Neurospora crassa OR74A: one gene and its partners. The protein of the gene in region 1 interacts with the protein of each later gene in a pairwise test. Links are inferred from orthologs where the notes say so. Each region holds a gene or a part of one and is shown in the gene's direction. Other genes may lie near its edges.

Region 1 (8,102 bases):
CGATTCTTCGTCCGTTGAATTTGAACCCGTTGAACATCAAGAAAGTCCGCCAACCTCCGAAAACCCAACATCTTCAACCAGACAGCCAGGAACCAATGAGGAACCGAGATTCCTCCATTCAACCCGAGGCTTTGTTTTCTTCTGCTGCCATTTCCGGCGGCGGAGGAGGAGGAGGAGGAGGAGAAGGAGGAGGAGCAAAGCCCTACGATCCTAGTACCTCTGACATACCTTCAACTTTGCTTGCAGGCCACCCTGCTAATTACCGGGTGGTTTCGTCTGGCCATGACTACGATTTCAGTTATAGCGGAGCAGGAGCAGGTAGGCAAAGACATGTCAGTGGGAAGGTGGCTGAGGAGGGCATGGCTGGTGGGTTTGGCTTTTCGGAGGATATAACAGAGGGAGGGAGGCAGGATAAGAAGAGGCTGACAGTTACCAATGCTTAGTGGGCATGATAGCAAGTTTGGATGCCTACTTGGATCCAAGAAGGATGATTTCTGTGGGTGATGAACGAATGATTACGTTGTTGGAATAATGTCATGATGAAGATGGATTATTCAAGCGGTTTTTCTGCGTCTAGCTAGCAGGTTCTGGAGTTAAACGGATGGGTTTTCGATGTTCAAAGGCATGATATCACTGTTACGAAAAGCTGAGCGTGGCGCATTGTATGTCTTGGTAGTTAGGTCTATAAGGTTGCGAAAGTTTCAACCCAGATAGTCGTTCTATGTCTATACGTTTCCTAAAGGTCATAACAATCAACTCTTTCTCTCATCCCTGTTATCTTTGTGACCATCTCTCTAGCCGTTAGGTATGATCAAGTCAACCCGCCGTCACGTCTCTAACTCAATCATCAACATCACAAAAAGCTCTCACAACAATCCGACCCTCTCCAGATACCCACTCAACCTCTCCTCCACCCTCTCCCCATTCCACGTCTCTCTCCCCTCCACATCCATCCCCAGCTCCGGTACTCCCACCTGCTCAATGGCAAAACTTGCTGCCACGCTGCCCCACGCACACGCCTCCTCGATGCTCTTTCCCCTCGCCAACGCCACCGCCAACCCACCCAGGAACGTGTTCCCACCTCCCGTGGGATCGACGACCTTTGTGGCGTCCGTGTGGTAAGCGGGCAGCCACCTCTCGATCCCCGAATCGACCTCGATCCCCTCCTCGACATCGAAACGACCGAACGGGTCATCCTCGTTGTTCCGGTCTTCCATATCTTGCAAAAGTCCGGCAAAGAGAGACATCATGTCTGTGTCGTGCTGTAGACCGCCGTGGAAGTTTCGGGCGTCCAGCCCTACCTTCATCTTCTTCTTCTTTCCCCTTTTCATAGGTGGCTGTTTCCTCCTTCGCCCCCCATTCTTGGCAACATAGCAGCCCTTCTCCCCGGCCCTGACCACCAGCGTGTACGTCGTCAGCGGCATGCTGGCCAGCAGCTGTTCGCAGTTGCGCTCTACTTGCTCGACGCTGATCTCGCCCGTTTCCGGGTCGAGGCCGTCGGTGCCCATGAACCCGGCTAGCTCGGCGTGGTTGGGGCTGCAGATGTCGACCAGTGGGAGGGCGTTGGTGCAGTTTAGTAACTCGAAGGGGGTGCAGAGATCGGGGACTGGTTCCCAGATGATTAAGGGGCGGGTGTAGGCGTTGGGGTCGTTGGTGTCGTCATCAACATCGTCGCAATCGTCGTCGTTGTCGTTATTGTTGTTGTTCTTGTTGGAGGCGGCAGCAGCAGCAAGTCGGGCTTCGCGCTTGCGAAGGGTGATGATCTCCTCCACCAACTCTTTGCAGCGGTTGGGACTGCAGACCATGTGCACGGCTTTAGCCTTCAACAAGGGGGTTCCGACCAGGTCGGCGGCCGTCAGTCGTTTCTTGGGAGTGGTGTACTTGAATTCGCGGCGCTCCGAGGAGCCGACGTAGCCGTTCCAGCCGCGGGTGGTGAGCCGGGTGGGGTCATGGCGGAAGACGGCCGAGGTGGACCAGCCGGTGATGAGATCGGTGATGGCCTGGGGGAAGTCGGAGCCCTGATCGACGATCCAGCCCACGGTGCGGGAGAGGTCCGGAGCTGGAGAGAAGAGGCGGGCGCCGAGGGCGGAGTAGGAGCCGGCGCCTCCTAAGACGTTGGTTGATGGAGGACGGGGCGGAGGGTATTCGATTTCATCTGATGGGGTGCTTAGTTGGTGCCTGATTGTGGTTCCTGGGCACTTACCGATGATGAACATGCCGAGGGTGACAAAGTCTATTATTGAGGGAGTGTCGTTGATATCTTGCCATTCTGAGCTCTCATCCGAGGCTTTGTCAACATCGTCTGGACTTTGGCCGGGCACTTCCGGGTTGCCGTTATTGTCTGTCATATTGTTCTCTGTGGTGACTGTGTAGGATCAATCAATTGTAGTGGACGCTTGAAAGGAGTGTATGCGAGTACGACGCGGCAACGGCCAGGCGATGATAGACAACAGGTGGGTGTGGGCTATGTAAGTGAGTGACACTGAAAGGGGTTATGAGAGTGAGACACCGATGGAGGGATGAAGACCTATTTGGAAAGATGGACGCGTATGTAGATATTGATGTGGCTACTGGCTAGGCTACCTCTATTGCTAGTCTGCTATTTCTGCCTGACCATCAGGCGGCATAAAGCATAAAGAGCCTGATGTTTTGATAACTCAACGTCTTATTAGCTAGAATCAGCTATCTGGGGTAGGTTTTTTACTGCGAGGCGTAGGAATGGAGAAAGGGGACGGACCCGCGGGACGGGAGGTTATGGGATCGATCCTGTCATCTCGATCCTCGACACTTTAAATGACTGCTTGTGCAGACCTACTCATGTCAAGTCTTCAGCATCAGCATCAGCATTACCGTTCTCGTATATACACAGCTAAACAAGCAGCGAGCTTCTGAACGGGGAGAGTGCTTGTTGTTGATCCGGTTGCAGTAGCACGATGTGACTTGTTGTTTTTGTTTAGGTATGCTTGGTGAGGTGGTAACTCATATGTGGATATGAGGCGTGGATGGTGCCTGTACGCCCAGCGGGCTTTTGGTGGCCGTGCACTCTAGTCTACTGCAGAGTCGTGAGAGCGGCCAGCAAGGTGTTCGTTCTTTCTTGTTGGAGGATGTCCCGAAACGCGTAATTTTAAACGATGGATGAGACGACCCACCATGACCCCACTATGAAGCTATCGTGGGGAAGCAGCTCATCACCTAGCGTGCTGCGTCTACAGAAGGTGTGCCCCGTACACTGTGGCCGCCCGTAGGCAGTGTACAAGCATGGCAGGCGCCAGGGGCAGATGCCCGTGCTAGGTAGGGGTTGTGTGACGAGGGGTTCCAATCGACGAGTTGTCAGCCCGGACCGTCAACCTTCAGACATCCCATGTTCCAGCACAGCAGATCTTGGGGCACCTAACTACACCTTCCCAGACCTCCTCCTTGTGCAAGTTTCGGGACTCTTTTCTTCCTCTTTCTCCATCTAGCGATATCTTCTTATTCCTTGTAAATTATACGGTTCAGCGAAAAGGGTAAGTGCTTCTCATCAAGATATTCAGGACGATACCTTCCCTCTGTTTCAACGAGCTCTCTTCCACCGGAGGTATCCGGGTCTGCCCACGGCACTCTCTTCACATCATCATCAAGGCAGGATCGCTAATACCGCAAGCTGGCACCGACAGTTCTAATCACAGAGTACACCTTGCTCCTTCCAACTTCTATATTACTCGACCGCGAAGCCTACTACGTTTCCAAAGTCCCGCCTAAGGGACCATCATAATCACAATGGCGACCAACAATATGCACAACTTGGTCACCTTGATCAAGAGGTACGCTTCAGCTTTCTTTACCGCAACTTGATATCGCCACACCTACGAATAGTTGCTTTCTTCTACAACACCCGCATTGCCCATTATTTTACCTGGCGCATTCTTAGCCATGCCGATTCCATGGGAGCCGCTCTGAGGCTAGGACGACGAAGATCCAGTCCCCGAGCAAGGAATGCGCCAGAAAAATCGGCGCAAAGCGAGAAAGAAAAAAAAAAGACTACGAGTGAATAATGGTCAAGGCACGTTGCTAAGTACTTGCGCAGACTTGAGGCGGCCACCCTCCGTCTGGAGGATATGGCTTCGTCCACCATCCCCCCTATTGGCTCCCAGGCCGTCATTGAGCCGGCTTCCTCCGCCCCCTCCGCCCCCGCGTCCACTGCTGTGTCCACTCCTGCACCCGCTGCCGCAGTACCAATTCCCGAATCTGTCGAAAAGTTCGACGACTTCTTGAACCAAACTGTTCAGAAATATGTTAAGACCAGCAATCTTATCGGTGGCTTGGTTGCTGAGCAGGTACCTATCCTGCACAGTTCTGGATCTATTTTGTGGGCAGAGAGCGGGAAGCTGACCATTTTTATCAGGCTGCGAGTGTCCTCAAGGGATTTGCCGAGACGCGCAAGTTCCTACTCGCCGCCTCCCAGTCCAAGAAGCTCGACATGAACTCGGTCGATTTCCAGGAGGCTATCAAGCCTATCAGCGAGGCCATCCAGGCCACTCAGGAAATCAAGGACAAGAACCGCGGTTCTCCCTTCTTCAACCACCTCGGCATGGTGGCCGATGGAATCATGCTCCTCGCTTGGATCACTGTTCAGTCTAGGCCTGACAAGCTCATTGATGAAAGCCTGTCATCTGCCGAATACCTGGGCAACAGAGTCATGCAGGCAAACAAAAACACTGATCCCCAGCATACAGAATGGGTCAAGACCTTCTACCAGATCTTCAAAGACTTGTCGGAATATGCCAAGGATTACTACAACAACGGCATTGTGTGGAACCCTAACGGCAAGCCTTACAAGGAGGTCGTCCAGTGTCTTGAATCCGGCAGCGCTCCCTCGGCACCTGCCGCGTCTCCAGCCCCGTCCGGAGGAGCTCCTCCTCCGCCACCTCCTCCTCCTGGACCTCCTCCGGTACTCAAGATTAATGAGCAGAAGGCGGAACCGGCCCAACCGGGTGGTTTCAGTTCCGTCATGTCTGAGCTCAACAAGGGCGAAGCAGTTACAAAGGGTCTCAAGAAGGTCGACAAGTCGCAGATGACACACAAGAACCCTTCCCTCAGGGCAGGATCAACCGTTCCCGACGGACCAGCGGCACGGTCCAAGAGCCCTGCGCCGCCTGGAACCAAGCCGCCCAAGCCTGAGAGTATGCGTGCGAAGAAACCTGCAAAGAAGGCTCTCGAGGGCAACAAGTGGATTATTGTAAGTTCTCCAGCCGGACATTGTGGTGTAAATTCAAGGTTTTTGACAGTGCTTTAGGAAAACTACGATGCTGCCGCTGGCAACGTTGAGATCGAGGCCTCCATTTCCCAGTCCATCCTCATCAGCAGGTGTAATGAAGTCGTCATCGTCGTCAAGGGCAAGGCCAACGCTGTCAACATTGACAACTGCGACAAGGTGTCGCTTATTGTGGACACTCTTGTTTCTACTGTCGACGTTGTCAGGTCCAAGAACTTCCAGCTCCAAGTCAACGAGACGATCCCCACTGTGCTTTTGGATCAAGTCGAGCAAGCCACAATCTGGCTGAGCAAGGAGAGCATCTCGACAAGGGTGTTCCAGAGCAAGACGGACAACGTCAATATCATGGTTGTGGACGAGAACGACGACTCCAAGGAGCTTCCTCTTCCTTCCCAAATCTGCTCGTATTACGATCCCGAGAAGAAGGAGCTTATCAGCGAGATCGTTTCTCACTGTGGTTAATTCATATTTGGTCGCTGCTTCGTCGAGATTGTCGGAAAAAGTGAGTAGCTTGATGCGAGGTGGCGTTTGGTTCTGATCGTGAGCGTTGTTGTCACATATTCTCCAATTTACATAATAGCACGCCTTGATTTGAATATTCGTGGATGGCATGTTCTGAAGCGGGCGTGAAATCATCTTCAATCCCGCAGGTATGCCAACTCGACAGTACCCATCATCATTTTCAAGAACCATATCATCTCATGACGTTCCTATTTCAATTGAAAAAAACGCCGAACACCTTTGCCTATCAATGACAAAACTTGGCTGTTTATGGCATGTCTCTCTGTCTAGACCATTTCCGCCGTAGTACTTTTCTCATCCATATCTATGACCCACCTAAAATCATCTCTACCTGTTTCCTAGACACAGCATCAATTCGGTTTTTTAACCTTTCCAGTCCACCAGACTAGATTTTGTACACTAGCTGACCATCGGTATACCTATCATCAAACAGCGTTAGCATCATTCCTCGACATCATCACACCTCACAATATCAAGCGAAGGGTAACTCACATCAACTGATTCCGTTCCGTCATCTCCCTCAACGCCTGCAGCGCCTCCTCCTTCTCAAACTTTTGTTCACCGCCTCTCCTGCCTCCGGGAATCTTCTCATTAACAGCCTTGATCAGCTCATCCACATCCGCAGCGTCGTCCTCGAAAAGTCCCGAGTTCAACAACGGACCGAGCGCCCGACGGAAAACGTCAAGACGGTGCTCGCTTATTGGTGCTGGCTCCTCATCTTCTTCTTCCTCTTCTTCCTCCTCTTCCTCTTCTTGGTTTTCTGGGGCGGCTTCGCCGTCAACGTCCATTTCTTCGTCTTCGTCTTCGTCGACGTTGAGGTTGGCGGCTCCGGAGGCGAGTTCTTCTTCGTCGTCTTGGTTCTGAGCGGTGCGACGAGATGATCGTTGGGAGCGAGTGGAGCGAAGTTGCGAGGCGGGAAGGGAAGAGGCGAAGGATGGTTGTGAGTCGCCGGTTGTGCGAGCAGATCTTGTTGAGCGGCGCGGGGTGGCGTCGTAGATGTCTTCTTCCTCTTCTTCTGCTCCTTGGGTTTCTTCTTCCTCTCTGGGAGTGCCGTTGGCGTTTGCTGCGGAGGAGGAGGAAGCGCCATTGGCGGGAGTGCGTCGGCTGGCGCGTTGGGAAGCGCGGGAAGCGCGAGAAGCTCTGGCAGCGCTGGAGCGGGCTGTGGTGGTTTGAGTTGCCACGTCGTCGTCATCGTCATCAGAGTCGTCAGAGTCGGAGGACATGCCATCCTCGCCCTCGGCGGGTCGGGTCTTTCTGCGCTTCTTGCGCGACTCGTCCTGGACCACCTCCTTGAAAAGGGCAAAGCGGAGGATGGACTCGGCAGCGGCGGCGTCACGCTCCTCGACGCGGTTGGACAGGCGTGCCTTGGCGTGGGCGGTGGCCAGACGGATGAGCGTCTCGAGCGTACGGACCGTCATGGGCGACGTCTTGCGCTGGTTGCCCTCCATGTCGTCGTTGCGCAGGCCCACGTAGATGTCAGCAATGCGGTCGGAAGCCTCCTGCGTCAGTACCGGCTTGATGCGCGTTTTGGCGTATTGAATATACTTCTTCATGAAGGGGATACTGAGGATCTCGGGCTTCTTGTTGGCAGACCCGCGGCCGCTGGGCACCTTGATTCCGGCATGCAGCATGGCGTCGTACTTCTCCCACATCTCGGTGGGCTTTTGGGACTCGGATTGCCCGTTGAGGGCGACGTTGAGGGCCTGACCGGCGTTCTCGCGCACAGGAGCACCCTCCTCGGTGCCGGGTTGGCGGTAGCGGTGCATGCGAAGGACGTGCTCGGATACCTGTCGGTCACGGGTGTCCTCGATGTCGTCGGTGACTACGAAGAGAAGATCGAAACGCGACAGGAGGGAGTCGGGCAAGGCGATGTTCTTGTGAGGATCCTTGTGGGTGTCGTACTGTCCAAAGATAGGGTTGGCCGCGGCGATAACACTGCAACGGGCGTTAAGGGAGGTGTGAATACCGGCCTTGGCAATGGTAACAGTTTGCTGTTCCATGACTTCGTGGATGGCAACACGATCGATGTCTGACATCTTGTCGAACTCATCAATACAGACGACGCCACGGTCAGCCATAACCATGGCACCAGCCTCCAGACGACGCTCGCCAGTCTCCTTATCGGATGTGACAGCAGCAGTCAAACCAACACCGGAAGAACCACGACCAGTCGTGGCAATAGCCAATGGAGCAGTGTTGAGGACGAAACGAAGGAGCTGCGACTTGGCGGTGGAAGGATCACCGACCATCAGGATGTTGATGTCACCTCTCAAATGTGTACCGTTCTCCAGGTTCTTCTCCATGCCGCCCAGCAGCATAAGCAGGA
Region 2 (7,857 bases), on another chromosome or scaffold:
ACCCTACGTTCTGGTGCTCGATTGGTGTGTTATACTACCAGATCAACCAGTATCGTGACGCCTTGGACGCCTATTCCAGGGCCATCAGGCTCAACCCCTTCATTTCTGAAGTTTGGTATGACCTTGGCACTTTGTATGAGTCTTGCAACAACCAGATCAGCGATGCTCTGGACGCTTATCAACGTGCCGCCGAACTGGATCCCAACAACCCGCATATCAAGACCAGATTGCAGCTCCTCCGAAGTGGGCAAGCTAATGGCGGCGCACCCCCGGGGTCAGTCCCGATGCCCACTGATATCCACCCCCAGACGTATAATGCATCCGGTGCGGTTGGTCCTCCGGGCCCTCAGTGGGCGGGCTCAGGCTCAGGCCAGCCTCCTCATCAACCGCCTCAGCCGATGCACAACGGTGGCCCTGGCCCGGGCCAAGGGGCCAACTCGTGGGGTGGAAGAATTTCCGACATTAACCCTCCTCCCCAGCCGCCGAACCCATATGCCTCGGGTCAAGACCGGGAGCCCTTTCGTGGTCCCGCTCCGCCGCTTCCCAGACAGCCCAGCCCGCGACAGGAGCAGCAAATGAGGCCTTATCAGGAGGCCAGGGCGCCCGAGCCGCTCAGAAGAGGACCTACCCCTCCCCAGGCTCATTACGCCCCTCCACCCCCTCCACCTCCGCAACAACCGCACCAGCCGCACCCGCAGCAACAGCTTCAGCAAGGACCTCAACCTACTCGGGAAGGGGGTAGTGGTACTAGAGTGAGGAACCCGAACTACGCTAATCCCCAGAACGTGGTCCCTTCCAATTCTGGTCCTGGCCCAAACGGCCCTCCTCCTCCAAACGCAATGATGCATTTTAACAACAGTCCGAGGACTGATGGAAGACCACCCCACATGCACGAGAACCGCATGCCGTCTCCCAAGTCCGCCTATCCTCAGCATCAGCCGCCGTACCCTCCGCATGGTGAGCAGGGCGGTCCTGGTGGCCCTGAGCCAGGCCCTCCTCACCCCCCTCAGTCAGGTATGGCTGGTGAACCTCCTCATCAGAGGGAGCATGATCCCCGCCCTCCTTCGGTTGGCCCCAAGAGAATGCGTGAGTGGGAAGACGACCGGGAGGTGAAGAAGCCTGCGACGGAGGAGACTCGCGTCCGTATGGATGACCATAGGCACCGCCGCCCCTCGATGACCCCGCCCCGAATGGAGCCGCCCTATGCTCGTCGCAACTCGTCGGAGGCTCGTCGCTTCGACGAGCGTCGTATGGAAGATTCCCGTAGGGTTGAGGAGCAGCGCCGGGCTGAGGAACAACGTCGCATGGAGGACATGCGCCGGGCTGAGGAGCAGCGGCACCAGAACGAGGGATACCATCCTTCGGAGGCCGCTCATCATCCCCAGTCTCATTCCGCCCCTGCCCATTTGCCGCCGATGCAGCAAGGTTCGGCTCCGATGCAGAACCTCATCCACGAGCAAGGCCACGGACCCCAGCAGCCAGTCCCCGGACCTCAGCAGCAAGGCCCAGGCCCAGCACATCAGCCCGCCCCCGAAGACCGACGGATGGACCATCCTCCAGCCCAGCACCCCCCCATCGTCAATGAGCCTGAGCGTGCGGCCCGTAAAATGGACGTTGACGAGGACTATGACGATAGCGGAGAGGAGGACAAGAAGGGCGGAATTATTCCCGGTCCTTCCTCCGGATCCGGCCCTGCAGCAAACGAGTCCAAGAACGGAGCCTCAACGAGCGGTAGCTTCAACGGCATCATGGGACAAAAGTCAGAAAGCAACTGATTACATCATCTGCCGTGTACCTCGAGCTTCTGCGCGAGAGACAAGACCCAGTGTATCTGCTTATAATACGGCAGAGGTAGGAGAACCCAAGATCCTGTCGATGTCATAATGGTTTTGCTTATGGATGGGAATGTACGTCGACTTGTTCGTTTTATGTGGTTTGAAAGAGTGGTCATCATTTCACACACATGGATGATGGAGACAGAAGGACCTGTGAAGCTCAAGATCTCATGGGTGCGAAATGCACTATTTTACCACGTTTTGACTGACCGGTAGGAGATGAGGAGGGAGAGGAAGGAGCGGATTCCGATGTACATACATTATTATGACTTGTGTTTGGAATAGAAGCGTGTGCATGTCATCTGTTGGAAAGTCGACAGCGAGAAGGGAATGGGAATATCCTCAAGAGGCGGAAATGAACTCGCTGCTTTGCCATAGAGGCCAGTTAGAGAACATGATTACGATTGTCGTTACACTCTTGGGATCGTAATTGCAACGTCGTGATCATTCCCGCACGGGATACGGTGTTATTGAAATGGCTGAACGGCGCCTCAGCCCGAAAAGTCAAGGAGATGACAGCTAAGTGTAGTGCTTTCGTGGTTATCCCTTGTAACCAGTACGCCTTTGACCATGCATGTCCGCCTAATCATGTAATCATGTTAAGCCAACCCACTTGTTTTACATCTACGACTGTTATAATGCCCTTGTCCACGAGCTCGACAAGCTAGAGGTATTGAGTCAAGAAGCAGATGGGGCATTTGACAATGTCGTCATGCTTCTGACAGGCAGCTGACAACCCCAATAGATGGAGATCTCGCTTTGATCCAAACAGCCCAACCTAGGCTATTGAAAGCCACAACAGCTTGCTCTCTTTGACACCGTGGGCGCGGACATCGAATTCGGAGAATCAGCCGTGTGATCAAGATGGAGTCAAGGGGGGGAACAACGAAGATTGGAGCTCAACATATTGTAACCGACCAGACCAAACAGAGCCGTTGCCACGCGCAGGCGCCGAAAAAATCCCATATCTCGTATTCCATCTGCGAACGTACCTACGGCGGCAGCGGCGACGATGACGGACTTATACGCAGAGCAATCAAAGTCACGTTTTCTGCCACCTCAACAGGACTTTACCTTGTCATCAATGTGCCATTAGTGAATGGCCCGCCAAGCTGACTAAGTGTACGGGGTCGCTCTTGTGGGGTGGATTGTTCTGGGCTTGGCTGGTCATCGCTGGTTGGCTGGGCGGGCTCGAGGAACAGGAAGGCGGACATGCCCGCCGGAAAGGGCTCGCGCAAAAGTTAGGGCTCCGCTGCACTTGAGGCCCGTGCACGGTCCAATCCACACCACTCACACAAAAATTTGGCTGGTCCAATTTCTCTGGCGATACTTCTTGATTTTGTTTTCGCGGTAGTGAACTTTTTCCCACTCGACCATCAACAACCCGGGTACTTGGGATCATCAGCAGTCATGTCTCACCGTAGTAAGTAACGCCTCATCGCCGTCGCTGTCGCCGCCAGACATACGGTCTTTGTCGATTTCTACACGCAATCCCGACTTCGAGAGAATCGATGGAGCAGCTTTCCCGAGAGACGGTCGTCGCGATATCGAAATTTTCGACTTTTTGGCGACTGGATTTTGGGGAGCATGCGTGATCACGACTTGGACCTCATGGCAACCTGAACGTCCTTCATGCTGACTCGATGCTTCAGAGTACGAGGCTCCCCGCCACGGTTCGCTGGCCTACCTTCCCCGCAAGCGCGCGGCCCGCCACAGGGGAAAGGTCAAGTCGTAAGTCAAGCTTATCTTCTGGTACCATCGACAACACTATCGCTAGTAGTTTGGATCTTTCGCGATCGGAACTTGGGCAATAGGGCATGCGAACAGAGAGGCTGACCAGTTGCGCGTTCATGACAGGTTCCCTAAGGATGATGCCAAGAAGCCCGTCCACCTTACCGCCGCCATGGGCTACAAGGCCGGCATGACCACCATCGTCCGCGACCTCGACCGCCCCGGCGCCAAGGCTCACAAGAAGGAGGTCGTTGAGGCTGTGACCATCATTGATACCCCTCCTGTACGTACAACGCAGCCCGCTTGGCTCTTTTTGTGTCAATGGCTAACATCTCTCGCAGATGATCGTTGTGGGTCTGGTCGGCGTAAGTCTTTGATCCTGTCCAGCTGCCGTATATGGCCTACCGCGACCGTGTGATCTAACCCCGATATTAGTACATCGAGACTCCCCGCGGTCTCCGCTCCCTCACCACCGTCTGGGCTGAGCACTTGTCCGACGAGGTCAAGCGCCGCTTCTACAAGAACTGGTACAAGTCCAAGAAGAAGGCCTTCACCAAGTACGTCAAGAAGCACTCCGACAACAACGGTGCCGCCATCACCCGCGAGCTCGAGCGCATCAAGAAGTACTGCACTGTCGTCCGTGTTCTTGCCCACACCCAGATCCGCAAGACTCCCCTCAAGCAGAAGAAGGCCCACCTTATGGAGATCCAGATCAACGGTGGCTCCGTCGCCGACAAGGTCGAGTTCGGCCACGGCCTCTTCGAGAAGCCCGTCTCGATCGACTCCATCTTCGAGAAGGACGAGGTTATCGACGTCATTGCCGTTACCAAGGGTCACGGTTTCACCGGTGTCACCGCTCGTTGGGGCACCAAGAAGCTTCCTCGCAAGACCCACAAGGGTCTCCGCAAGGTCGCCTGTATCGGTGCCTGGCATCCTTCCCACGTCCAGTGGACTGTTGCTCGCGCTGGTCAGGCCGGTTACCACCACCGTACCTCGGTCAACCACAAGATCTACCGCATTGGCAAGGGCGATGCTGAGGACTCTGCTGCCACCGAGGTCGATGTCACCAAGAAGAAGATCACCCCGTATGTATCCCCGTCTGTCTTGAAGAAGTTGAAGAGCGCAAAACTAACCCTGTTCCAGCATGGGTGGCTTCGTCCGCTATGGCGAGATCAACAACGACTTCGTCATGGTCAAGGGCTCCGTTCCCGGTGTCAAGAAGAGAGTCATGACTCTCCGCAAGTCCATGTTCGTCCACACCTCCCGCAAGGCCCTCGAGAAGGTCGAGCTCAAGTGGATCGACACCTCCTCGGAGTTCGGTCATGGTGCTTTCCAGACCCCTGCCGAGAAGAAGCAGTTCCAGGGTACCCTCAAGAAGGACCTCGCTGCCAGCTCGTAAATTGGCTGCTGCAGTTGATCTCCTTGTTAGTCGGGTTGCATTGGTGTCACGGTTTTTTCGTTGCTCTTTCGGGTCGGTCGGGAAATGGGACTATACCTAGCATTTACGGCTTAATAAAAAGCTGTTGAAGAACAATGAAACGTTGATCCAGTGTACTGCCAAAGAGAGTGTCCTTCAGCAAAATGTGTTTTATGTGATGTGAACACGTGAAGAATCTGGTGGTTGGCACAGATTCGATGGACACTGTTGTTTATAACTTCGTATGTTTTATTCCAGGACTTTTGTCTTGGGCTGCTATGCCCCCACTAGTGTAGGGTAATGACTTGAAGGGACCAGTGGCATATAGATATACCCAATTTGATAGTCTTGAATGTAGCATGTCGTGTGATTCTCGTTGCCTGTTCTGCTGCGCTGGACGTGTTCGATTTATCAACTGTTCATGAGCTTCCACCTGTCATTCACTACCCGTCTCTATGCTTTCTCTTCCTGATATTGTTCATCTGCGATACCACGACTGATAATGATATCACTTTTCGACCATCTTCTCATATTCCTAGTCGTGCTTTTGGGAGTCCTCACGGCGTACATGGCTGTTGTTACTTGTTGAGGGCATATCAAACCCCGATCGACCTTGCAAGCAGCCCATCTCCTGATTGGTTGACGCTTCCACTCTTAGGCCAACGTGAGATCCGCCATTCCTAATTGGTTTCAGCTACTGCAGGTTACATCATCGGACGTTCGTTCGCATCCCACCACGCAGCCCACCCACCTGACTGATCATTGTCATCGTCGTCCCGCCCAACGAAACGTTCTCAACCTAAACACAACAACATAATGGTTTGAACTTCCCTAACCCTGACCCAGATCTGTTCTAGTTGCTTCTTCCATCCTCAACACAAACTCTTTGTCGACAATCCGCAAAGCTAATTACCCGGCTCTTTCTCGAACACCAGACACCCGCTGGATTGCCTCTCTCTCGAACAACTTCTACGCTTCTCCATTTGCAACGACCAGCAGCGCAACGATTTCTCACTCTCCCGCTCTTGCGCATCACTACGTCCCTTTCCGCAGGTACTACGCTTCATACGCCTCGTACACCGCACATCATCACCTCGACCGCGAAGCTGTCGTCTACCACCACCACCACATCGAAAATGGCCTCGGACGATTCCTACATGGCCTTCCTCAACAAGGCCAACGAGGACCCTTCGCTCGGGTACCCGCGCGACCGCCCCGACCCGGCAACGCAAAAAGTCGGCAGCAATACATTCAAGACGCGCGACGAGGGGGTTCCCCTCCCGTCTCCGATTGCCAAGTTGTTGGAAAAGGGGGATAAGTTCTATGTGAGCGATGCGGATGAGCCGTTTGAGGGGGTCGCGTTGAAGTTTGGGGAGGAGATGCTTCCGGATGAGGGTAAGTTTCTCTCTTTTTTTTTCTGTCGTGAGTTTGATGGTGGGTGGGACGGAGGGGGAAAGATTTCGTTCCTTTTTCTTTTTTTTGGGGCGGCGGGGGGAAGATGGAAGAGAAGGGAGGGCAGCAACAGGAACAGGAGCAGAAAAGGATGAGTCGAAAGACAAGAAAGATGCTGACATTTAATGAAAACAGAAAAATTCGCCTCTTTAATCAACCACCCCAGCCCCGCCGACGCCGATATCGAGATCTTGGACCCTGTTGACTGGGATCGCAACGGGCAGTACCTTGATTTGATTGATGCGGTGACGGAGGCGAGCGAAGGGCGTGATGTGAAGGTGTACAGGGTTGCGAAGGACAGCGTGCGGGTGGAGTATTGGGTTGTGAGTGTGAGTGTTGATGGGAAGTTGCTGGTTGGTGTTAGGGCTTTGGCTGTTGAGAGTTAGACGGATTCCAGAGAAAGGGGATGAGAGGACAACAGATGAAGGTGGCTCGGATTAAGAATCTGGATGGGATGTTATTATCACGATACCACGGCTGAATGAACCAGTTTTTATTTCTTTAATTTCCCTCTCGTCTATGTCGTCCGCTCTGGATGTTATTTCAAGGACCGAAGCTGCCTGTTATTGAGCCTTAAACCGTGTCCTACCTTCAGCCACATGAAACCTCTAGACAAGCTCTCAAGGATACATAGTATCTCTGTTCCCATATCGTTCACTCGTTGTAGTAACTCTTGTCCTATTACTTGTTCATCAGCGTGCGATCCCTCAGCCAGTCTTTGTACCTCACTGATCCTTTCTCTTCATTTTCTCCTATCTAAGATCTGCATGGTAAAAGACTGGCAGTATGTATTGGAAGCTTAGTGCCCTGTCACGTTCTCGTTGACAAGTTCATGGTTCATGTTTCCATGATCCGCCAATTTCCAAGGCTATGCTCATCTCGGGAAGCTAACCATTACAGTCTGCTCTAGTCATATTCGACTCTCCGGCCTCATGTTACTTACTCCAGTTACGTGACAAAGTCGATACAATAACACGATGGGTGGATTGGCTCATCTCAAAACGGGACCTCGTTTCTGTTCCAAATCCTGAACAACTAACACATACTCACTCGACTGTAGCTTATCATACGCATCGATGTGTCTGTCTGTCTGTCTGTCACCCATTGAATGTAAAGGGGGAAAAAAAAATTAGATATATGCATATCCAACGGTAGATGATCAAAAAGATACAAATTAAAGAAAACAATTGTGCGCAGTCCGGGGTTCGAACCCGGGTCGCTCGTTACTTAGCTTCCAGTCGCCTGTGATACTGGGAAACGAGAGTGCTAAACCACTACACTAACTGCGCTTGTTTTGTGACGTTGCTTCAGTTGTTGAATGTGTGGCTAGGAAAATTGGAGTATAAGGGGCAAGTGACGGCAGTTAGATAAGGGGAAGAAGGTACGGCGAGGGAAAGTGGGAGTGTTGAGTTGTTTGCTGTC
Region 3 (7,916 bases), on another chromosome or scaffold:
GGTAGGAGAGCTTTTGAACGAAGAAGATGCAGACCACGTCTTGTATGAGGACGAAGAAGACGAGGAAAGCCAAAATGATGAGATGGGCCTCAGAGACGAGGACGAGGCTCATCTCAGATACGAGTATGAAAGCAGGTTGAAAGACGAGGACGAGGAGGAGCCCAAGAGCGAGGATACAGATGGTGAAGAAGGACAGGACGAAAAGATCAGGTCCAATGGCAATGATATCATTCACATCAGAGATGATGATAGAATCAAATCCGGGGATCGAAAAGGCACAAAGCAGGAGAGCGAAGGTATCAAGTCCAACGGCAACGATATCAATCACATGGAGGTTGAGAAGGATGACGACAGTCATTCAATAATATCTTCAATATCCAGTCTATCGGAACTCGGCGATCTTTAATCATTTTACACGCCCATTTCTCCGAGAGCACGCGTAAGAACTATATCTTGAAGAGTTCACAAGGTGGCCAACCTGAAGGATTTAGTTTGTCGTCGGGAGCACTGTTGATGGGGCTCAAGCATGCTGATGTTCACATAGCATGTGCTGGGAGGAGCAAATAAAACAACCTGTGAGCTGGGCAAGCTTCTCTCGTTTCTTATATCCTTGATCGTGCAACACCTTGGGCGTTTCTCCTCGTCTTGGGCACACATCAATGTTCTTCTCACAAAGCCCCCTTTTCCTTCACCAAACATTGTTGGTTTGTTCCGGGTTGCCATGTAAGTTGCTGGTTGGAAGGGATTTAGAAGGAAACCACGTCTGTTTGTAGAGGTTTCCATTTGTTTCAGGATAGAAACGTGCGAAGTCACAAATCAGATTCACTGTTCCGCGATTGCGGCACTACCAATTATGAAACTAGACGGAGCTACAACTCTTCAAACCATGCCCTGCGAACGTTAGCTGTCGCGAACTATCAGCCCCATGCAAACTTCAGGCGGTCCGACTTTGTTTCTTCCAAACTCGGTAGCTGTTCCGAGTCATTGCCAACTCGTTTTACGCCGAGTTGTATTTGAGGGCATACATTTGAGCTGCTCTTTATCCAAACGGCACCTAACTTGACATCCATGTAATCTCTCACAGCTTCATACTTACCCCTACCCCTCACAGCTGTCTTCCTCTAGAAGGAACAAAAAAAGCGAGGGACTAGCGGCCTACCCTGTGCTCAAGTAGACCCATTCCGACGAACGACGCGCTCTCTGTGGCGAGACCCAGGGAGGGAACCCATTCATCGGGTTTTATCCTCAGATCGAATCACGGCATGCCAGCTCAATCGAAAAGCTCCCCCTCTCTTTGTGGAGGGAAAATCAAGTTGTCCATGAACTAGGCGTAAAGCTCCAGATCGGCTCTATTTCTTGGCTTCATGTAAGCAACCTTCCAGTTCGTTGATGAGATGAATAACATGGAAACTCGACGAAAAATGGGATGGGGGCAGATTGTGGAATTGGAGATGCAGTCCCGCTAGGTATCTACCTATCTAACGACGAAAAGCCTACATACCCTAGCTACCTAGGTATGATATTGGAACTTTAGCGTGCTTTATCCCTCGCCGGGGCACGCTCTGTTGGTTACAGGTGTAGGTTAGGTGAGTGGAAAATAGTGTAGAGGTTAACGACACCCCGTCACTACACGTGTTCGGGTAGCTAGTAGCCCCGTATCTTGAACCGCGGGCTAATGTTAAGGCAAGGTCCCTTATTTTACGGGGTAGAGACACCGAGCGACGGCGGACGCTCGCACCTCCCACGTTAATGGGGTCCGGGGACCGACCCGACCATGAAGGTACCTCCCGTCTACACAAGGTACGTACCGTGCCTGGCGACCAATTCTCATATTCAGGCCCTCGACACATTGCATGGTTCCTTGCAGCTGTTGAGATGTTAGGTTGTGTTTACAGATGCAGTTCAGAAAACAGGCGCTTTCAGTCGTTCATACTGCGACATTCACAGATTTTACATAGTAGACTACTTGGGGGGTTCTGGGCGCCAAGTAAGACATCTCAAAACAGGAACATCGTGAGCTTCAAGTTCACAAAATACCTAGAGGTACCGACAGGGTTGCGGAGCCTGAGGGAGCGGGCATACCCCCACGCGGAGCGAATTGATGCTGGCTGGCCACCCCTGCAACTGAAGTTTGCCGTTCCGAATCGATGTACCCCTACCTCTACGTACGGCTCACCGATATGCGCACCATCCGTTCGGGTGCCCTGACATTGACACCAGACACCGACTTGACATGGATACCTACCTATAATTTCGGGGTGCTTTGGCGCACAGGAACCTCTCTGATGCAAACACTGTGGCCACGGATGGGAAGCCTAAAAAGCTTCTATGTTTTGTCACCGAGATAACTCGGGCGGTCCCGCTAGTGCACTGAGATGGCAGATGGGACTGTAGGTAATACAGGCCCGAACCGGCAGCAGGTTATGCCGTGCCTCATATGTCTGCTTCGGTCGCTGAAGTATGTAAATACGTCGGCTTCAGGTGATAACTCATCATAAAATACATGTTGGAAAAACGATTGGACGCTTCTTTGAAGAGGCCCTGGCAGTCAGGTTGCATGGACTCCAGCCGAGCACCAACTCGCAGTCCTGAAAGGCTTGGGGTCCTGGAACCCAACTTGAAGAAGTTGCAGTGGCCGACAACCAGAGGGACAGTGTAAACTATCCTGATGTTCACACTTGCTCGTCAGCCCCCGTTTCCTTCTCATGTCTGCAATGGGCAATATCACCGCCCGGGGACCTTTCGGACTCAGCCCGGCTTGTTTATCTTGGGCGGCTTACACACGGGCTCAGACTGTCACACGGCTGTAGCGACTCCCGCTCGGTCAAGAAATCCGAGTGCTCTGCTCTTTTTGAGGCCCTGTACAGATTTAGCTATGGGGCCAATCGCTGCCACAGTACACTATTGTCGGAGCCCCAAATGCCGACCACTAGGGTACCTAGAGGTAGTGATGAGGACTGGACACATAATTGTCGAGTTTCTGATGGTGGGCCATCTTTGGCGCACATCTCACCCACCACCCTGGTCCGCCGTCCGCCCACCCATGTTGGTACCCGGACGCCAGTGACCTACCGCCCTACCTCCACGCCCACTCACCTGCTGGTGAACATCGACATCTGATCCATTTCCCATTCGCTGCAAATACCTAACAAGAGACGATTAGAACCACTTTGCCGGCCCAGCAAAGAGGGCAAACGCGGACCTGGACTAGCCACCCACGAGATAGCAGCTGAACACCTCAACAACACACCAGCATAACGCCAGCAACGTCTTGGGTTGTCGGGATTCAACGTCCGCATTCTTCGTCACCACAAGACACGCCCGCCATCTTAGCATCGGACAAGGCCATGACCTGAAAACACTGGCCATCCCCATCCTCACGTGGAATGGCTGTGGTCTCCTGGTAGTTGGCATCTTTGTTCCGCTCGCCTCCCGCCGGTGACAATGACGAGAAATGACGGCGGCTCCCGCTACAGCTCCATCGACAGCGCACAATCCAGCATCACGGCGAAGCCATTTCCCTTGACGCCGACCAGCAGCCTGGGCAGCTCGATGACACGGCCGCTGTCCCCGTCGCTGCAAGCGGGCAGCAGTAGCAGCAATGGCGGCCACAATGTATCTCGGTCCGCCTCACAGGGTGCGCGCAGGCCTGCGCCGACGCGTTTGAAGACGGATGACGGCACCCAATTTGCGAGGTGAGTTGAAGCGAGCGACGCAGTCTGTTGTTTCCTGGGGGCTTCGTGGTTCTCGAGCGGTTCTGTGATACGGATACCTACCCAGTCTTGCTTGCACAGTCCTGTCCTGTCACCGCAACTATCCGGAAACCCCGTTCTTCTTTGCCGTCCCTTCTCTTACAAGTCAAGCCTGTTCTTGCCCTATTTTCCTGCAGTTCAAACTAACGGGTGCATGCGTCGGCCGCCCATCTACAGCAGGTCATCGAGAGATTTCGAGTCGTCGCAGTCCCAGTCGCAGCCGTCGCATACGCAGACGCGGTCGCACTCACTGTCACAGGCCACGCTTCAATCATGTTCGCAGCCGCAGTTGTCATTGAATTCCCAGCAGTCTCAATCCCCTTCTCAGTACCACTCGCAGCAGACGCCGACACAGCAACAACCACAGCAACAAGTATCGCCCACGGGGGGCTCGCGCCTGACCCAGTCGCCCACTACACCATCCAATGCGTCTATCCGCGAACACAGAATGAGCGAGCTGGGGGGATATCGTCGTGAAATGGCGGCCATGTTGGACACCACAGGCGGCGCATTGAGCCGAACGTCATCGCACAGTCAGCAGCAGCCGCAGCAGCCGCAGCAACAACAACAACAGCAGCAGCAGCAGCAGGGTCACGCTGCAGGATCAGTTTCGGGTACCTTCAGCAACCTCAGCCAGTACGCACCGTATCTGGGGGGAAACAACGGCGGCGGGATGTCCATGGGCAGCTTCCTCAATGACTCTACGGATAATCTGTCGGTAATATCGCAGCTATCGCCGGGCATCCGGCCGATGACGGCACGGCCTTCGCAGGCGTCGGCAGGCAGCATGGAGTTTCCGGATTCGGCGTACTACGACGATGAGCGGCGGCCGTCGATTGCTTCAATCACGACGACGGCGAGCAGCCAAGGGTCGCGGACTTCCAAGACCCGGGGCGGGCTACAGAAGCTCCAGCAGTTTTTTGGCGATCGGGACGATTGGCCTGGCCGAGATTCGTCGGAAATTAGCCTGCCCCAGCCGAGTCACTCGGGCCCCATGTCCACAGGGAAGGAACACCGATCACACTCTTACAGCCTACCAGGCAGCGGTCGCTCGCACCGGGACCGCAACTACTCCAATGCCACCGATCACCATCCCTCCACCTTTGGCTCCGTCTCGACTGTCGGCGGGCGAGATAGGGATGCCTCGCCCGTGCCCTCGAGGCCGCGAACCCCAGTGCCTGCGCCCGAAGTTGTGCCGTTTCTGTACCAAGAAGCCGACGTACGTATAGCCTCGCTCTCTCTTTCTCTCTTTCTCTATTTTTGTTTTCTTTTGTAATTTACTGTTTTCGATCTTCCCTTCCCCCTCTTCGCTCTCCCCCTCCCCCCCTCTTCCCTCCCCTCTCTCGTAAAGTGTTGTGGTGGTAGCTTGGTAAGAGATACAGGAGCAGTAGTATCACTAAAGGTACCCTACGCTACTTATACCTACTAGCTACTACCCTCGCTTCGACCCCATTTCCACACCTCGCCAAATCTTATCTCTGGCCTTCTCTTTCCTATCTCCACCCCGAGCTATCCCTTTTGGGAATCGCGAATTGGATGAGTAGCAGTGGGATCAACATTGGCAATGGCCGCCGGCCGTCTCATTCTTTGCTCCAAACGCAACCCTCGTTTGACGCTTCCTGCAACATGTCGGCGGTGAGATGATCCCTCCTGCCATCTTCCGTCTTCAAGTTCACAACAACCACATTAACAAGGAGCCCAAGGCAATGGCTGCGGAATCTTTTACACAACAATGACAACGACAGCCTGCCAGTGAGGTGTCGTTGTTGCCCTGCTCCAATCCCGAGAAACCCGCTCTTTGCTGCTATCCTCCAGTCTGGACTCCTCCTGCCTGCCGTGCCTACCAATCCGTATTATACAAATTGCACGAGTGATCTCTGTCGCCGTAACTGACCATTGCATGAAACACAGGACATCGCTCGCTATGGCGAAGCACCCGTTCGAACAAGTCTCACTGGCCCCGATCGCGATCGTTACATCGACAGCTCCCAGAACCCACCAAAGACCTCGTCTTCCGCCCGGTCAGGTCACTCCATCGTGCACCTACCGGGACATCATAAACACAACAAGAGTAACGAGGATCCAAGGGCTTTGAAGCCATCGCTTAGCAGGGAGGATTCGGCAGCCAGTTTCGCTAGGGATTTTCGCAACGGTTCCAGCTCTATGATGGGCACCCGATCTCGCGCACAGAGTCCAGCGCCCAGTTGGACAGGGACGTCGCGGGGACTCAAAGCCAACAGTATTTCCGACGGAACATCATCTCCAGCTCCATCGCACAAAAAGGGCATATTGGGTCGCTTCCGCCGGCACAACAAAGACAAGGAAGATGGCTCCAGCCTTCGGAGTGGCTCAAACCACACTCTTGTACACCGCCCGTCGAGACAAGACCTTACCCGCGCCGCCGAATCCACCTACCCAGCATCCGTCTACGTTTCGGACCCTAGCGAGCAGCGAGAGGTCCCTGTCCGCCCTGGCTATGTGCGCCAGACGACGGCGCCGGGGTTCACCACGAAACTCTTTACCTCTAAGAAATCGAGCTCGGCCAAACAGCCCCAAGATGACATGGACGAGGACATTGGGCCCACTGACATGCACATGGGAGGTGGAACCGTCTATCATCTCGATACGAACCTTAATGATATGGAGGGAATTTTGACCAAGCCTCAACCCATGACCCCCTTGGACAACAGCATATCAATGCGACGCGAATCAGAAAAGATGATTGTCCCGATCACGACAGATCCGGAGGGCGCATGGGCTGCCCCGGACAGTTGGGCAGTGCGCGACAACAAAAAGTCTCTCGCCCCTCAGGTAAATGAAGACTTGTGCTCACGTCAACCTAGCGAGGAAAAGGAGAAGAAAAGCAATTATTACATTCGTGTCTTTAGGTCAGATAGCACCTGGACTACGCTCACCCTGCCCTTGACTGCGACAGCTGAGGATGTTATCATGGGTGTGGCGAAAAAGACTTATCTCCCTCCGGGTGCTCAGGACAGCTACTCTCTCCTTATCAAGAAGCACGATTTGTTCAGGGTCTTGAATAGCGCCGAACAACCCTTGAGAATCCAAAAACGACTCTTTCAGCAGATAGGTTATCAAGAAAAGGATGGCATTGACGAAATCGGTCGCGAAGATAACAGTTACATTTGTCGATGGGTCTTCCTCAAGGAGAAGGAAGCCGACATGCATTTGCTCTCACCTGACATCAACTTCAGGAACCAGAAGCTCAATCATGTTGACCTGTCTGGGCGCAACCTAATAACCATACCGGTACCATTATATCGCAAGGCAGCAGAGATTGTATCCCTTAATCTGTCCAGAAATCTGTCCTTAGATGTCCCCAGAGACTTTATACAAGCTTGCACTGCTCTTCGGGACATCAAGTACAACAACAACGAGGCGCAGGCCTTGCCCAAGAGCTTCGCCACGGCCAGCAAGCTTACCTATCTAGATGTGTCAAACAATCGCCTCCAGGATCTGGATCATAGCGAACTGAGCAAGCTAACAGGCCTGCTCAAGCTGAACCTCGCCAACAACTGTTTGCGCAGTCTACCCCCTACGCTTGGAGCCTACAAGTCGCTGCGAACACTTAATATATCTTCCAACTTCCTCGACGTCTTCCCGTCCTTCATCTGCGAGCTGGAAACCATCGTCGACCTCGACCTCAGCTTCAATTCAATCAACAACCTTCCCGATAACTTGATGAAGTTGAGAAACCTTGAGAAGTTCGTGATCACTAACAACCGACTGTCTGGGCCTATATCCGAGAGCGTGAGGGACCTAGTCAGCCTTCGGGAGTTGGACATCAGATACAACCAGATCAGTACCATCGACGTCCTTTCTGACCTACCTCGGTTGGAGATCTTATCCGCCGATCACAACCAGATATCCAAATTCAGTGGGTCCTTTGAAAGACTTCGAAGCTTGAAACTCAACTCGAATCCGATTGTCAAGTTTGAAGTCAAAGCACCTGTTCCTACCCTCAAGATCCTCAACCTGTCCAATGCGCAGTTAGCGAGCATCGACGAATCAATCGACAACCTAATGAACCTTGAGAGGTTGATACTCGACTCTAATTACTTCGTCTCCCTGCCAAACCAAATTGGTAACCTCAAGAAACTTGACCACCTCAGCATGGCAAACAACCACCTCGGAGAGCTTCCT

Evidence for each region.
Region 2: the proteins of NCU08008 (region 1) and NCU06843 interact in binary tests that used the Saccharomyces cerevisiae proteins (3 or more experiments, as listed by UniProt). The link is inferred for Neurospora crassa OR74A from reciprocal best matches to the Saccharomyces cerevisiae genes SRV2 and RPL3.
Region 3: the proteins of NCU08008 (region 1) and cr-1 interact in binary tests that used the Saccharomyces cerevisiae proteins (3 or more experiments, as listed by UniProt). The link is inferred for Neurospora crassa OR74A from reciprocal best matches to the Saccharomyces cerevisiae genes SRV2 and CYR1.

What each region holds. Positions count from the first base shown.
Region 1 is NC_026504.1:3,895,323-3,903,424, forward strand, and holds NCU08008 (adenylyl cyclase-associated protein), read left to right. Parts: upstream 1-3,236; 5' UTR 3,237-3,506; intron 3,507-3,656; 5' UTR 3,657-3,759; coding exon 3,760-3,803; intron 3,804-4,066; coding exon 4,067-4,316; intron 4,317-4,384; coding exon 4,385-5,218; intron 5,219-5,275; coding exon 5,276-5,716; 3' UTR 5,717-6,161; downstream 6,162-8,102. Other genes in the region: NCU08006 (hypothetical protein), read left to right, coding at 1-443; NCU08007 (PfkB family carbohydrate kinase), read right to left, coding at 867-2,348; NCU08009 (DNA replication licensing factor mcm3), read right to left, coding at 6,162-6,195, 6,269-8,102. UniProt on the Saccharomyces cerevisiae protein: The N-terminal domain binds to adenylyl cyclase, thereby enabling adenylyl cyclase to be activated by upstream regulatory signals, such as Ras. The C-terminal domain is required for normal cellular morphology and growth control.
Region 2 is NC_026502.1:1,781,825-1,789,681, reverse strand, and holds NCU06843 (60S ribosomal protein L3), read left to right. Parts: upstream 1-3,116; 5' UTR 3,117-3,245; coding exon 3,246-3,258; intron 3,259-3,487; coding exon 3,488-3,566; intron 3,567-3,692; coding exon 3,693-3,849; intron 3,850-3,907; coding exon 3,908-3,931; intron 3,932-4,001; coding exon 4,002-4,651; intron 4,652-4,709; coding exon 4,710-4,965; 3' UTR 4,966-5,404; downstream 5,405-7,857. Other genes in the region: RCM-1, read left to right, coding at 1-1,775; NCU06844 (hypothetical protein), read left to right, coding at 5,800-5,802, 5,919-6,378, 6,571-6,821. UniProt on the Saccharomyces cerevisiae protein: Component of the ribosome, a large ribonucleoprotein complex responsible for the synthesis of proteins in the cell.
Region 3 is NC_026501.1:5,568,911-5,576,826, reverse strand, and holds the start of cr-1 (adenylate cyclase), read left to right. Parts: upstream 1-2,969; 5' UTR 2,970-3,444; coding exon 3,445-3,695; intron 3,696-3,929; coding exon 3,930-4,971; intron 4,972-5,337; exon of another isoform or gene 5,338-5,378; coding exon of another isoform or gene 5,379-5,387; intron 5,388-5,663; coding exon 5,664-7,916. Other genes in the region: NCU08376 (hypothetical protein), read left to right, coding at 1-406.